Xenopus tropicalis: one gene and its partners. The protein of the gene in region 2 purifies or fractionates together with the protein of the main gene of each other region. This does not show direct contact. Links are inferred from orthologs where the notes say so. Each region holds a gene or a part of one and is shown on either strand. Other genes may lie near its edges.

Region 1 (3,655 bases), on a different chromosome or scaffold from region 2:
GTAAAAATGTTATCGCGTCTTAATTTTCGCGACTTTTCACACTATTCACCATAAGCATACTTGCGCTATTTTACGCGCGGTATTTCATCCAATATTTTTGTTGCGATAAATAGCGTGCGCGGTATTTTTCGCATGCGCTAATTGTCGCGACATTAAGCACGCGACAATCGGCAGCATAAAATTGGCGACATTTTGCCCTGGGAAAGCACAGAGTGCTAGAGAGGTGCTGTATAAATGTTTATTTGCAAAAAAAAAAAAACCCCAAAAAACAATAAAAATATAAGTAAGAAAAAAAAAAGAAGTGCTAGAGTTATCACACTCGGCAGAAAATACACTACATACTAATTAACGCAAGTTGTTGCCCGCGACTATAATTTTTTGAAGCCTTTGCCAATTTTTGGACGTGCAGGGAATTTTTGCGTGGCGAATTTTTTTATGCATTTTGCCATTGGCGGATTGTTTTGCGAAACACATGAAAAAATTTGCTGCTTAAAAATTCGCCGCACGTGCAAAAATTTGCTGCGAATCCATGCCTGGCGAAACATTTCATCACTTGTAGCCGCATATGAACGCACACCATGTTAGCCATACACGCCAATACTTTCGTAAAATTACTGTATTAAAAATTACCATTTCCTTGCAAACTGGCGGCTGCGTCACTCTAGGGGAAACACATACTTGAATAAATAGCACTGCAAAGTCCATATTTTATTGGCAAAAGCTAATTTACTGTACTTTTCTATAATTATTATAACTAGTAATGTATTTTGTGCGACTAAAGATTTACCGCTATTGTACTGTATAATATCGCGACAACATATTCACCGCTATAGTACTGTATATTTTGGCGACAACATATTCACCGCTATAGTACTGTATATTTTGGCGACTAAATATTCACCGCTATAGTACTGTATATTTTGGCGACTAAATATTCACCGCTATAGTACTGTATATTTTGGCGACTAAATTTTTACCACTATTGTACTGTATATTTTGGCGACTAAATTGTTACCACTATTGTACTGTATAATAGTAGCGAAATTCCATACATGCCAAGACTTTAGTAAAATTGAGTAAAAAGACACATATTTGAATAAATAACACTGTAAGTCCATATTTTATTGGCAAAAACTCATTTACTGTACTTTTCTAAATTTTTTCGCCTGCCTGTAGTAGGTGTTAATTTTCGCATAGCCGAATGCAATATTTAGCTCGCCTAAGTTATAGTGAATCATGCGATCGTATTCTTTTCAGCGTGGAAATTAACGCATGCGTTAAAACTAGTGCAAAAAATACCGCATGCGAAAATGGCGACTTAACGCACGTGATAATACTATGGTGAATCGTGCGCTAATTATCGCGACTTATTTAACGCAAAAAAGCGTGCGATAATTTTTATTGCACTTTAGTGAATCGGGCCCTATATCTTATGCCTGTAATAGAAATAATATACCCTGTAGGGTAAAATACAATTTAATGATTTTATCTGTACATTAGTACAGGTGATATATCCAAATTAACCGAGCCAGCCAAGTAAATTCCCCTTGTTTATTATTTCCAGAAGAAAAGAAAAAGAAGAAGAAAAAGAAATCCAAGGCAAGAAAAGACAGTGTCGAAAAGGCAGAGGAGGATACTAAAGAGCAAGATATGGACATAATTTCTGAAGGCGTCCCTAAGAGACGCAAGACTGTATCTGAGAGCTCAGTACCTGATGTACAGGAAGCTGATAAGCAGACTGCCAAAAAGGAAAAAAAGAAAAAAGAGCGAGCAGAGAGTTTTGATCAGTCTGAGAAAGTCAGGCAAGGCAAAAGAAAGTGTAGCAGCTCAGAGGAACATGACTGCTCTTCTGCTAAGCAGAAGAAAAGTGATACTAAAGACCTGCCTCAGGATGAGAAGCCAATGGTAACTCAAGAAGTATTACAAGAATGTAAAGGTATTGTCTCCACAGATCTGTTGCCCAAGTTTATCCTTTTTGTCTATTCTATAATATGTATACAGTCAGACTATAAAATAAATATATCTTATCTATAGTAGTCAGGTATTTGCTTTCATTTTCTAGCTCCTAAAATAATACTACTCAAAACTAAATACTGGTTGGCTGCTATAAGGCAACAGCAAATACACTTGATGCATGGCACTTAGCATCTATGTAAGATAATAAGCTCTCAAGTGTTATATAATAATTATAGTATAGTATGGTATGTTATGGTTTCTGCATCTTATTGTTCATGAAACAGAGCTCTCTACAGAAGAAGAAAAGGATGCAGTGGATAAGAAAGAAATATCAGTGCCAAAAGTAAAAAGGAAGCGGAAGAAGAAGCATAAAGAGAGACACCGAGTTGGAGAAGAGGTTATACCTCTGAGAGTACTTTCAAAGTAAGTCCTTTCACTGTGCATTTAAACACAGTTTTCAGATGTGGAAATATGTTTGTGTTTGGTTATGAGAGGTATTTGCAAAAGCAGTTTTGTATTAAGCATTTTAATAAAAAAAACAAAATATCTAGGCCTACTAGACTTCACTAGTTAAAGGGGCAGTATATACCCTTTTGCCTACTTTTTTTTTTTTTTTTTTGCAAAACAGTCTTTGTAATTTTTTCTTTTTTACTAAATCCCCTATAATTAGCTAGCTAGTTCAACTAGAGATAATGAGCTCTATATAAACAAACTACCCCCACACTCCTTTTTGCCTTGTTTAGCTAAAGTAACTAAAACCATACATTTTATATATAAAACATATATCATTATTTTGCATGCTTGCATTTGGTTGAGTAGTTTTGTCCTCTTGCTCAACTATTTGAGTGCAGCTTGGGCAAACAGTCCTTGGAACTTATTGGATCACAGTTGGCCTTCCTGGACAGAAATTTAGATCTGATGATTCTTCTTGGTGCATGGTATGAGGCACTAGCAGATCCAAAAATAAGAAGAACACCAGATCTGCTTTTATACATGCTCAGCCAAATAAAGCAGATTATGGTACTGGCACAAAGGGAAATAAGCCACTACCGCGGGCTACTAATCTCCTCAAAATGCATTCTCACCTGCAATAATGAGAGGAAACTTTTGGCCGACTTCAATAAACGAAGTGCTGCTTATGTCTTTTTGCAGGCAATTTTACATTATTGCCAGTGGGAAAACATTTTGGGCAGTATTGAAGATTTATCGCGGGTGACTAATCTCTCCATTTACCAGTACCCTAAATGTTAATTACCATCCATGTAGATAGACAGACAGGGAGATAACTACCTTTTTCAACCAGATAACACCACCTGCTAATTAATTATAAGAAAAATAAAAAGGTTGCTACTTTTTTTTTTTTTTTTACATTTTTGGTATTTATGCATATAAAAATAGTGTTTAAGATTTTTTTTTTTTTTTTTAAAAATACTTATTTTTTCTAAAAACTTATATGTTAAGATATATTTAAGTATGTATTTTTAAAGATACAAAACAGTCATTTGTATGTTGGTATACAGATGAACTTAACATCCACTGGTAGAAAGTGAGTTTGTATAGCTGGCACTCTGCAGGCAGTCACCATTGCTACAGTGCAATTCTAGACAATATAGCACAGAGTTTGCACATAGGCAACAGTAACTGCACACCTACAGCGCAGTCCTATTACATGTTGTCCATCAGATATGCCGGATCAGAA
Region 2 (2,984 bases):
ATTTTTATACATAGTTTTGTTAATTTGCCTTTTTCTTCAAACGTTTTAAAATGGGGGTCACTATTCAAAAAGCTACTGCCCAGTGAGGCTACAGTTATTGTTACTTTTTATTACTTATTTTTCTATTCAGGCCCTCTCCTATTCATATACCAGTCTCTCATTTGAACCACTGCTGGTTGCTAAGGTAATTTGGACCCTGGCAACCAGATAACTGATGAAACTACTGAGCGGAGAGCTGCAGAACAAAATAAATTACTTAAAAAAAAAAAACAGACCAATTGCAAGCCGTCTCCGATTACTCTCTACATCATACTAAAAGCAGACTCAAGAGTAAACGTTCCCTTTAATAAGTTCAAGTGAAAGCATCTTGAAAATAAAAGGAGTTAAGTTGATAATTAAAAATATAGGTTTTATTGGAAAGGTTCATAGAGGGTCTAGCCTCTTTTCAGAGCAAACATTTGGTACATTGAGACCTCTCTATTGCCCCTCCCCAGCCCCACCCTGGGGCAGTCTATCAGGCTCCACCCCACAAGCTGTTTGTCCCCCCAACTATTCAAATAGGGGGACAAGGCGAGATGAAGAGACAGCCCTGATAGAAACACAACTAAATGAACAATTAGCGATGACTAAGGGAATTTATTCTATTGATATCATTTTATACCATTTCTATATTTAAAAGAAAAAAAAATAAAATAAAGTCGGTCCATGACATGCTCAATACATCTGTTTTTGGAAGAAAGATCCATTTTCCTTAGTACAAATCCCAAACAAAATAAATAGAAGCTTTCCACTGAAAGCATAGCACTCTTCTGCCTCCGTCTGAGCAACTCCCTGCATGTGTGGCAGCTCAGTTACTCCAGACCTCTAACTGTCCCTTTTCTCAATCTTCTTACCCCCCACCCCTCCCCGGCCACGGTGTAGTGTGACCGCAGCAGCCCCTTCTCTCCTCAGTTTCAGACATTCAGTCTGTTTCCATGGCAGCACTGCGGGATTCCCTGGCAACCATTAGCCGCATCAGCTGACTGTGGAATTTCTCGATCTTCTTGACGTCCTGAGCCTGGTCCGTCCTATACAGTAAGCACTGAAAATAGAAAGGGAGGGGGGGGGAAACACATCAGCTATTTCAGACAGTCTGATCTTTTAGCCCCGTAGCGCAGTCTTATGGCGGATGGTGGCAATGCCAAGGTGACACATAGACAGATTGGCATCCCCGTATGCTAAGTGTCACCTCACTAATGCCTAGCGGGAACCCGCTGGGTGCTTCCTGATATCCCCTAGAACCTACAATGTAAAGATAAAACCTCCCTACCATTCTCTTGGGCTATTCTTTCCCATAACTACCCCCTCCATTCTGGCTGCCTGTATCCCTTACTGCCCACTCCATGGGCACAGTGACACCCAGCTGCTATTAAAGGAAAACTATACCCCCAGAATGAATACGGAACCAGACAGTTTATATTATGTTAAGTGGCCTATTAAAGAATCTCCCCAAACTGGAATATATCAGTAAATATTGCCCTTTTATATCCTTTCCCTTGAGCCGCCATTTAGTGATGGGCTGTGTGCTCCCTCAGAGATCAGCTGACAGGAAGTGATGCAGCTCTAACTGTAACAGGAAGTAGTGTGGGAGCAAAAGGCAGAACTCTGCCCATTCATTGGCTGATGGGGCCTAGCATGTATGTGTGCCTTGGCTTGTTTGTGTCCTCTGTGACTCCTATGATCCCAGGGGGCGGCCCTTAGTACATAAAATGGCAGTTTCCTATTTAGGATTACCCAATGGCACATACTGCTAAATAAGTATATTTATATGAAAATGGTTTATTTAGATGAAGCAGGGTTTTACATATGAGCGGTTTATGCAGTATATTTTTAGAGACCCACGTTGTTTGGGGGAATAGTTTTCCTTTAAACGCAAGGGCAGCCTGCAGGGGCAGTATTGGGTGTTTGCACCACTGGAGAACAGAGACCAAAACTGAACCCCCCACGGCTAATAGAACTTGATGACTTGGCCACTTCAGACTCACAAACCAACCTGTATCAGGCAGGCTAGAAAATCCCATTGGACATGGACGACATCAGTGGACTCATGTGCCCCTCTCCCAACAATCTTGGACTGAAGCATGAAGTGATGATTGGCCCAGGTTCCAAATGATCGGATCATTCTACATTTGGCCCAGCACATTGGTGACTAAATCGGACAAAGTTCCGCTCATTGGGTAACCATGCAAGAGAGGATCTTACTGTGTGTGGTGAGAGAGTAACCAGCACTTTATGGTAGCAGGGAGGAATCCAAGCCTTGGTAGTTACACTTCCTTGCTAGAAAAGGACAACAGCCCTCAGATACACACTGTGTTACTAACAGTATCAGGACCCCTGCCTGCCCAACATCCCATAACCAAACCACAGGGCTTATATGAAGTTGCCCCTCTAACTGCCCCTACACTTCTGGGAAGGTTCTCACTAGATACTGGAATGTCATTGCTCCTCCCAGCAGCCTGCTCAATCAATACGTGGCCAAACATCTTCCACATATCTATCGGGCAGGGATGTGGAGGTGTACGGCCAGCTTTACTCACTTTACTACTCACAGGTGCAGCCAGTGAATGAGGAGCAAACCTGCATATAACACACTTACCACTACATCATCTGTAACTTTAATACAGAGGTTCCCATCACAATGTCTGTATTTCAGCACAACACGAACCTACGGAAAAAAAATAAATAAAATGTTCATTTAATGAAAGAATCAGCCTGCCCCCACAGAAGAGAACAGTTTTGCCCTAATTTCATAATACCAACAGAACCAGTAATTTGCCTTCATTTTTTATGTTCATAGTATTTGAATTAGTTTATAGGTTCAGGAGCTCTCCAGAATGGAAGTTTAGCAGCTCTCTGGTTGCTGTGGTCCAGTTTACCATAGCAACTAGGCAGTTGAGTAAATGAGAGAAGGAAAGATGAACAGGAGAGGCCCTGAACAGAAAGTT
Region 3 (4,326 bases), on a different chromosome or scaffold from region 2:
TTTGCAAGGAGATCATTGGTTACTTTAGTGAGACCAGTTTCTGTTGAGTGTGTTGGGCGGAAGCCAGATTGCAGGGAGTTAAGAAAGGAATTGTGAGTGAGATGCTGGACCAGGCGGTTGTAAACAAGCCTTTCCAACAATTTAGATGCAAATATTAGAAAGGAAACTGGGCGACAGTTGACAGGGTACCTAGGATAAAGGGAAGTTTTTTTCAGGATTGATTAGTGATTAGTGCTTGTTTATACAATAAAAGTACCAGTAGAAAACGAGAGGTTAAATAGGTGGGTAAGATGGGCTGAGTGTATCAGAAATTGGTTTCAGGAGGTAAGAAAGTGTTAAGCTGGCCATACACGTGGTGATCTGACGATGTTTCGTGCGACCAAACATCATCAGATCCGCCACACACCATTCAGGGCTGAATCGGCAGGTAAGGAGGTAGAAACAATAGGATTTCTACCTCCTTCTGCCGATTCAGCGCTGAAGGAAGATTTTGGTCAGGCGCCTTCTATGGCGCCTGATCAAAATTTTCAAACTGGTAAGATTGGCGAGTCGGCCGATATCAGCAGCCTCCTGTGATATCGGTCGACTCGCCGACATACCATACACGCACCGAATATCGTACGAAACGAGGTTTCGTACGATATTATCGGTGCGTGTATGGCCACCTTCAGGTAGGTAAGTTTAGGGCTGAGTGTATCAGAAACTGGGTAAAGGAGGTGAGACGGCATGGGGCCAAGGAAGATTCTAATTTCCCACCATGTCATCTTATAAATTGGCCCTTTTTTTAAACTGTGAAAAATCCACCCCTTGTTAGCACAAAAATGTTAAAGTTGGCTTTGGCAACCTGCACAAAGTGTCTTTCTCATTTCCTGGCTCTACCTAAGATGATCAGAAAACCCTGCACTACACTGATGAGCAAAAGAAGGGCAAAATCGGTCTGTAGTTGGAAATCTGATCAGCTGTTATCCCGGCTTCTGATTTAAAAACCCAGTGGGTGAGCTTTAACCCATACTAGGCTAAACCCATGTAAATGGGATTTTCTTTAAACTCGTTGGGATTAGTTCCCAGAATTCCTTTTGTCTACTGGCACAAGAAATAAACTTTACTTTACTATGTAAAATATTGGGAACAGAAGCTCTTGAAGCAGCAGGTATTGCTTGTAACCACTGGCAGAACCAGACGCTACTTCACCTCCCCCCTCCAGGCAGCGCTATGCGCCTTCTCTCCGCCTATATACGGTAATCGTGACATCACGGTCTCGCGAGATGAGCCTTGTGAGGTTTGTTTTTAGCTGCGCAGAAGTGAAGGAGGTTGATATTAACGGCACTGCAGGACTGGTAAAGAGTAATCCGGGACTGCGGGATGTGAAAAAAAAACTGTGTCTGTGTCTGGATAAGCGAAACTGCTGCGTGTGTGCCGGAAGCGGATATCAGCTGACGGGTCAAAGGGAAACTTGGAATGGTGACGTTTCATATAGAACGGAAGTTCCCGTGCTGTGAAATTCCTGTCGGTCTGTTGAGTTTGTAATTTCGTTATATGGACATTGCGTTGCCTGAGCATCGACCGGTCCAGTTGGGGATATAAAAGCATATAGTGGGAGGGCTGAGGGACCCCCACATTGGGGGCTTATTTCTCATCAGGTAAGCTATGTTACATGCAAGTCTCAAGTCCTTCTAATCTCAGTCTCCACTGCGGTATGGTAGTGAGGCTGTATGTAGTGAGTAACAGCTGCCTCAGGTTTAGACCTTTTTGCCTTTCCGTTTGCTAATTTCTTTCGGCAAAAAAAAAGCTTTGGGGGAAGGACCAGTTAGATAACACGATGCATCACGTCTCAATATAGCCAGTATGGTATTCAAGTACATTAGCCAGCCAAATGTAAGGGTATCAAGCCTAAATAGAACAAATACATGCAGGTATGCAAGTGCAGTTATTACCCAGTAGTATGGTAACCCTCTTTAGATTTCTATATACTTAGCAACTAATATTTATTTAATATTTGTTCTGACTTCTTATTTGGGGGTCTATTAGGTGCTTAGCCCTAGCAGGTCTCCAGGTGCTTCTTTGTACTGTGTAGTTCCACAAAACTGATGATGATACTCCAGCGGTGGATTTTTTTTTTTACTTGGCAGAAACTAAACCTGTTGCATAGCATAGGTATTAAGAATAATACTGGAGAATGTGGATCTTGTTCTTACATTAAGTGGCTTGGCCCTATCTGTGGAATGGTGTTGCATGGGAGTGTCTTAGTGGGGCCTTGTGCATATGGTCCACTTCTTGGTCTGAACCAGTGGTATTGCTGAACTACACGATGAGTGTGATGGAATAAACTTAGGGGTAATTCCATTTGTACAGTTATAGGACCCATTATCCAGAATGCTCAGGACCAAGGGTATTTCGGAGAAGGGGTCTTTCCGTAATTTGGATCTCCATACTACTAAAAAAATCAATAAAACGTTAATTAAACCCAATAGGATTGTTTTGCATCCAATAAGGATTATTTCTATCTTAGTTGGGATCAATTACAAGGTATGGTTTTATTACTACAGAGAAAAAGGAAATGAGTTTTAAAATTCCAAATTAATTGATTAAAATGGAGTCTATGGGAGACGGGCTTTCCGTAATTCAGAACTTTCTGGATAACGGGTTTCCGGATAAGGTATCCCATACCTGTATCTGCACTAATGTGTACTTCAGGGGGTGTTAAGAAGTACTTGCTGGGTATTGCTGTTGTAATCCACTACAGGAGGTGTTAGGTGTGTAACAGCAGCTGTAATTTAGATAATGCAGGCTACTAGTGTAGCCTGAGCTCTGTAATAGTGCCAGCCATTGTAAAGGCCAAAGCTCCTGAAAATGCAGTGAGGAAGTCAACCAGCAAGGTAAAAACTGCTCTCTACATGCCTAGGACTGATCATTCATGGGTACATGAGTCTTGACCTAGGATGCCAGATGTGATCAACCAACTGTTGGCGAGTAATCCTTTGTTAAAGGAGAACCAAAGGCTTGTAGAAAATATATATTATATTATATATATATATATTGCCCAGAGAACTTTTGGAATGTAATTTTTTTAATTGAATTGTTAAAAGTATTGCAGCAAGGAAGTCTGTTCAGAATAGTAGAGGATCTTTTTCCACATTTCCATCATCCAGTGTTTGCTGCTTTTAAAGTATGGGAAACGTAGTACTTGAACTCTGAGATTCATTTCTTAAGGAATGTTCACATATAAAGTATGCTTTTAGAGCAGCATTTTATAAATGCTCGTGAGTTGTATTCATTCCCTTGTAGGATGTCATGATTTTATTATTCCTAAGCAGAACTTAGTGACATGCAGCAGATAACATAAGTATAATTGCATCCCAAAGAATAAAAACTGAATATCACTAGACCTTTTGGTTGCAGGGCCCCAACAGTTCTGTGCATGTTTCTTTAAAGGGTGTCCGCTATCCTTTACATGAGTAGCATAGCATGTTTACCACCACTACAGGTGTGATCAGAAAGGCTTGTGTTTTAGCCCTGAGCCTGGATCCATGCAGGTCACACAGTGTAACCTTATCTAATTTAACTTACTCCTGTTAAGAGCACCATCTCTGGTAATGGGAGCTGGCAGGAAAGTTGGTTCCCAGCAACATCATTTCTAGCATCAATGGGTTGATCAGAGCGATTGGCTGTATTAGAAAGTATTGTGGTGCTGCCGGTGCTCATATGAATGATGTATTATGCTGGCTATGACTGGCATTGCACATTCTGAGGCTAGTAGGTTTTACACTGGAAACTGCCTTCAGTGTCCTGTAGCAAGGAAGTTTGATACTTGCCTACCTTACTGCAATCACAATGGAACGTTAAAGGGCAATGTATGTTAAATGTGTTTTTTCATAATGTTTGTCGCTGACAAGTTAATTATATCTGTTGTTTGTTCATGATAAACTTTCCATTTGTTCTGATAAGCATGTTGTGTTTTCATACAGGTGTTGTGTAACAAACAGAAGCCAAGATGGTGTTGGCAGACCTAGGACGGAAGATTACTTCAGCACTGCGCTCACTGAGCAATGCAACAATCATCAATGAAGAGGTGAGACAGTATTTTTATGCACCCAAATTGTAAAATGTATTTGTTTACGCATGCAACTGGTAAAAAACTATTTTTTGTTATAACTGTAGCTGCACCCAAAGCCACAACTACCTTTGTGCTCACTAGCTCAGGTACATAATACATGTTAGGGGACTCTGTAGCACTTTTCCAACTCCAATATAAATGATCCTTGTGCAACTGTACCTTGTATTTATTGTTATACTTTGTATTTATCTATTATTATTTTAATAACTCCC

What was found.
Region 1: the proteins of srp9 (region 2) and larp7 purify together in Homo sapiens (affinity purification with mass spectrometry; 3 studies listed by BioGRID and IntAct, with this or other methods). This does not show direct contact. The link is inferred for Xenopus tropicalis from reciprocal best matches to the Homo sapiens genes SRP9 and LARP7.
Region 3: the proteins of srp9 (region 2) and srp54 purify together in Homo sapiens (co-immunoprecipitation; 4 studies listed by BioGRID and IntAct, counting the BioPlex papers as one, with this or other methods). This does not show direct contact. The link is inferred for Xenopus tropicalis from reciprocal best matches to the Homo sapiens genes SRP9 and SRP54.

Annotation. Positions count from the first base shown.
Region 1 is NC_030677.2:68,982,391-68,986,045, forward strand, and holds part of larp7 (la-related protein 7), read left to right. Parts: intron 1-1,564; coding exon 1,565-1,936; intron 1,937-2,069; exon of another isoform or gene 2,070-2,240; coding exon 2,241-2,379; exon of another isoform or gene 2,380-2,904; intron 2,905-3,534; exon of another isoform or gene 3,535-3,597; intron 3,598-3,655. UniProt on the Homo sapiens protein: RNA-binding protein that specifically binds distinct small nuclear RNA (snRNAs) and regulates their processing and function.
Region 2 is NC_030681.2:8,410,228-8,413,211, forward strand, and holds the end of srp9 (signal recognition particle 9 kDa protein), read right to left. Parts: intron 2,707-2,984; coding exon 2,636-2,706; intron 1,082-2,635; coding exon 962-1,081; 3' UTR 622-961; downstream 1-621. UniProt on the Homo sapiens protein: Component of the signal recognition particle (SRP) complex, a ribonucleoprotein complex that mediates the cotranslational targeting of secretory and membrane proteins to the endoplasmic reticulum (ER).
Region 3 is NC_030684.2:109,397,234-109,401,559, forward strand, and holds the start of srp54 (signal recognition particle 54 kDa protein), read left to right. Parts: upstream 1-1,514; 5' UTR 1,515-1,640; intron 1,641-3,965; 5' UTR 3,966-3,991; coding exon 3,992-4,069; intron 4,070-4,326. UniProt on the Homo sapiens protein: Component of the signal recognition particle (SRP) complex, a ribonucleoprotein complex that mediates the cotranslational targeting of secretory and membrane proteins to the endoplasmic reticulum (ER).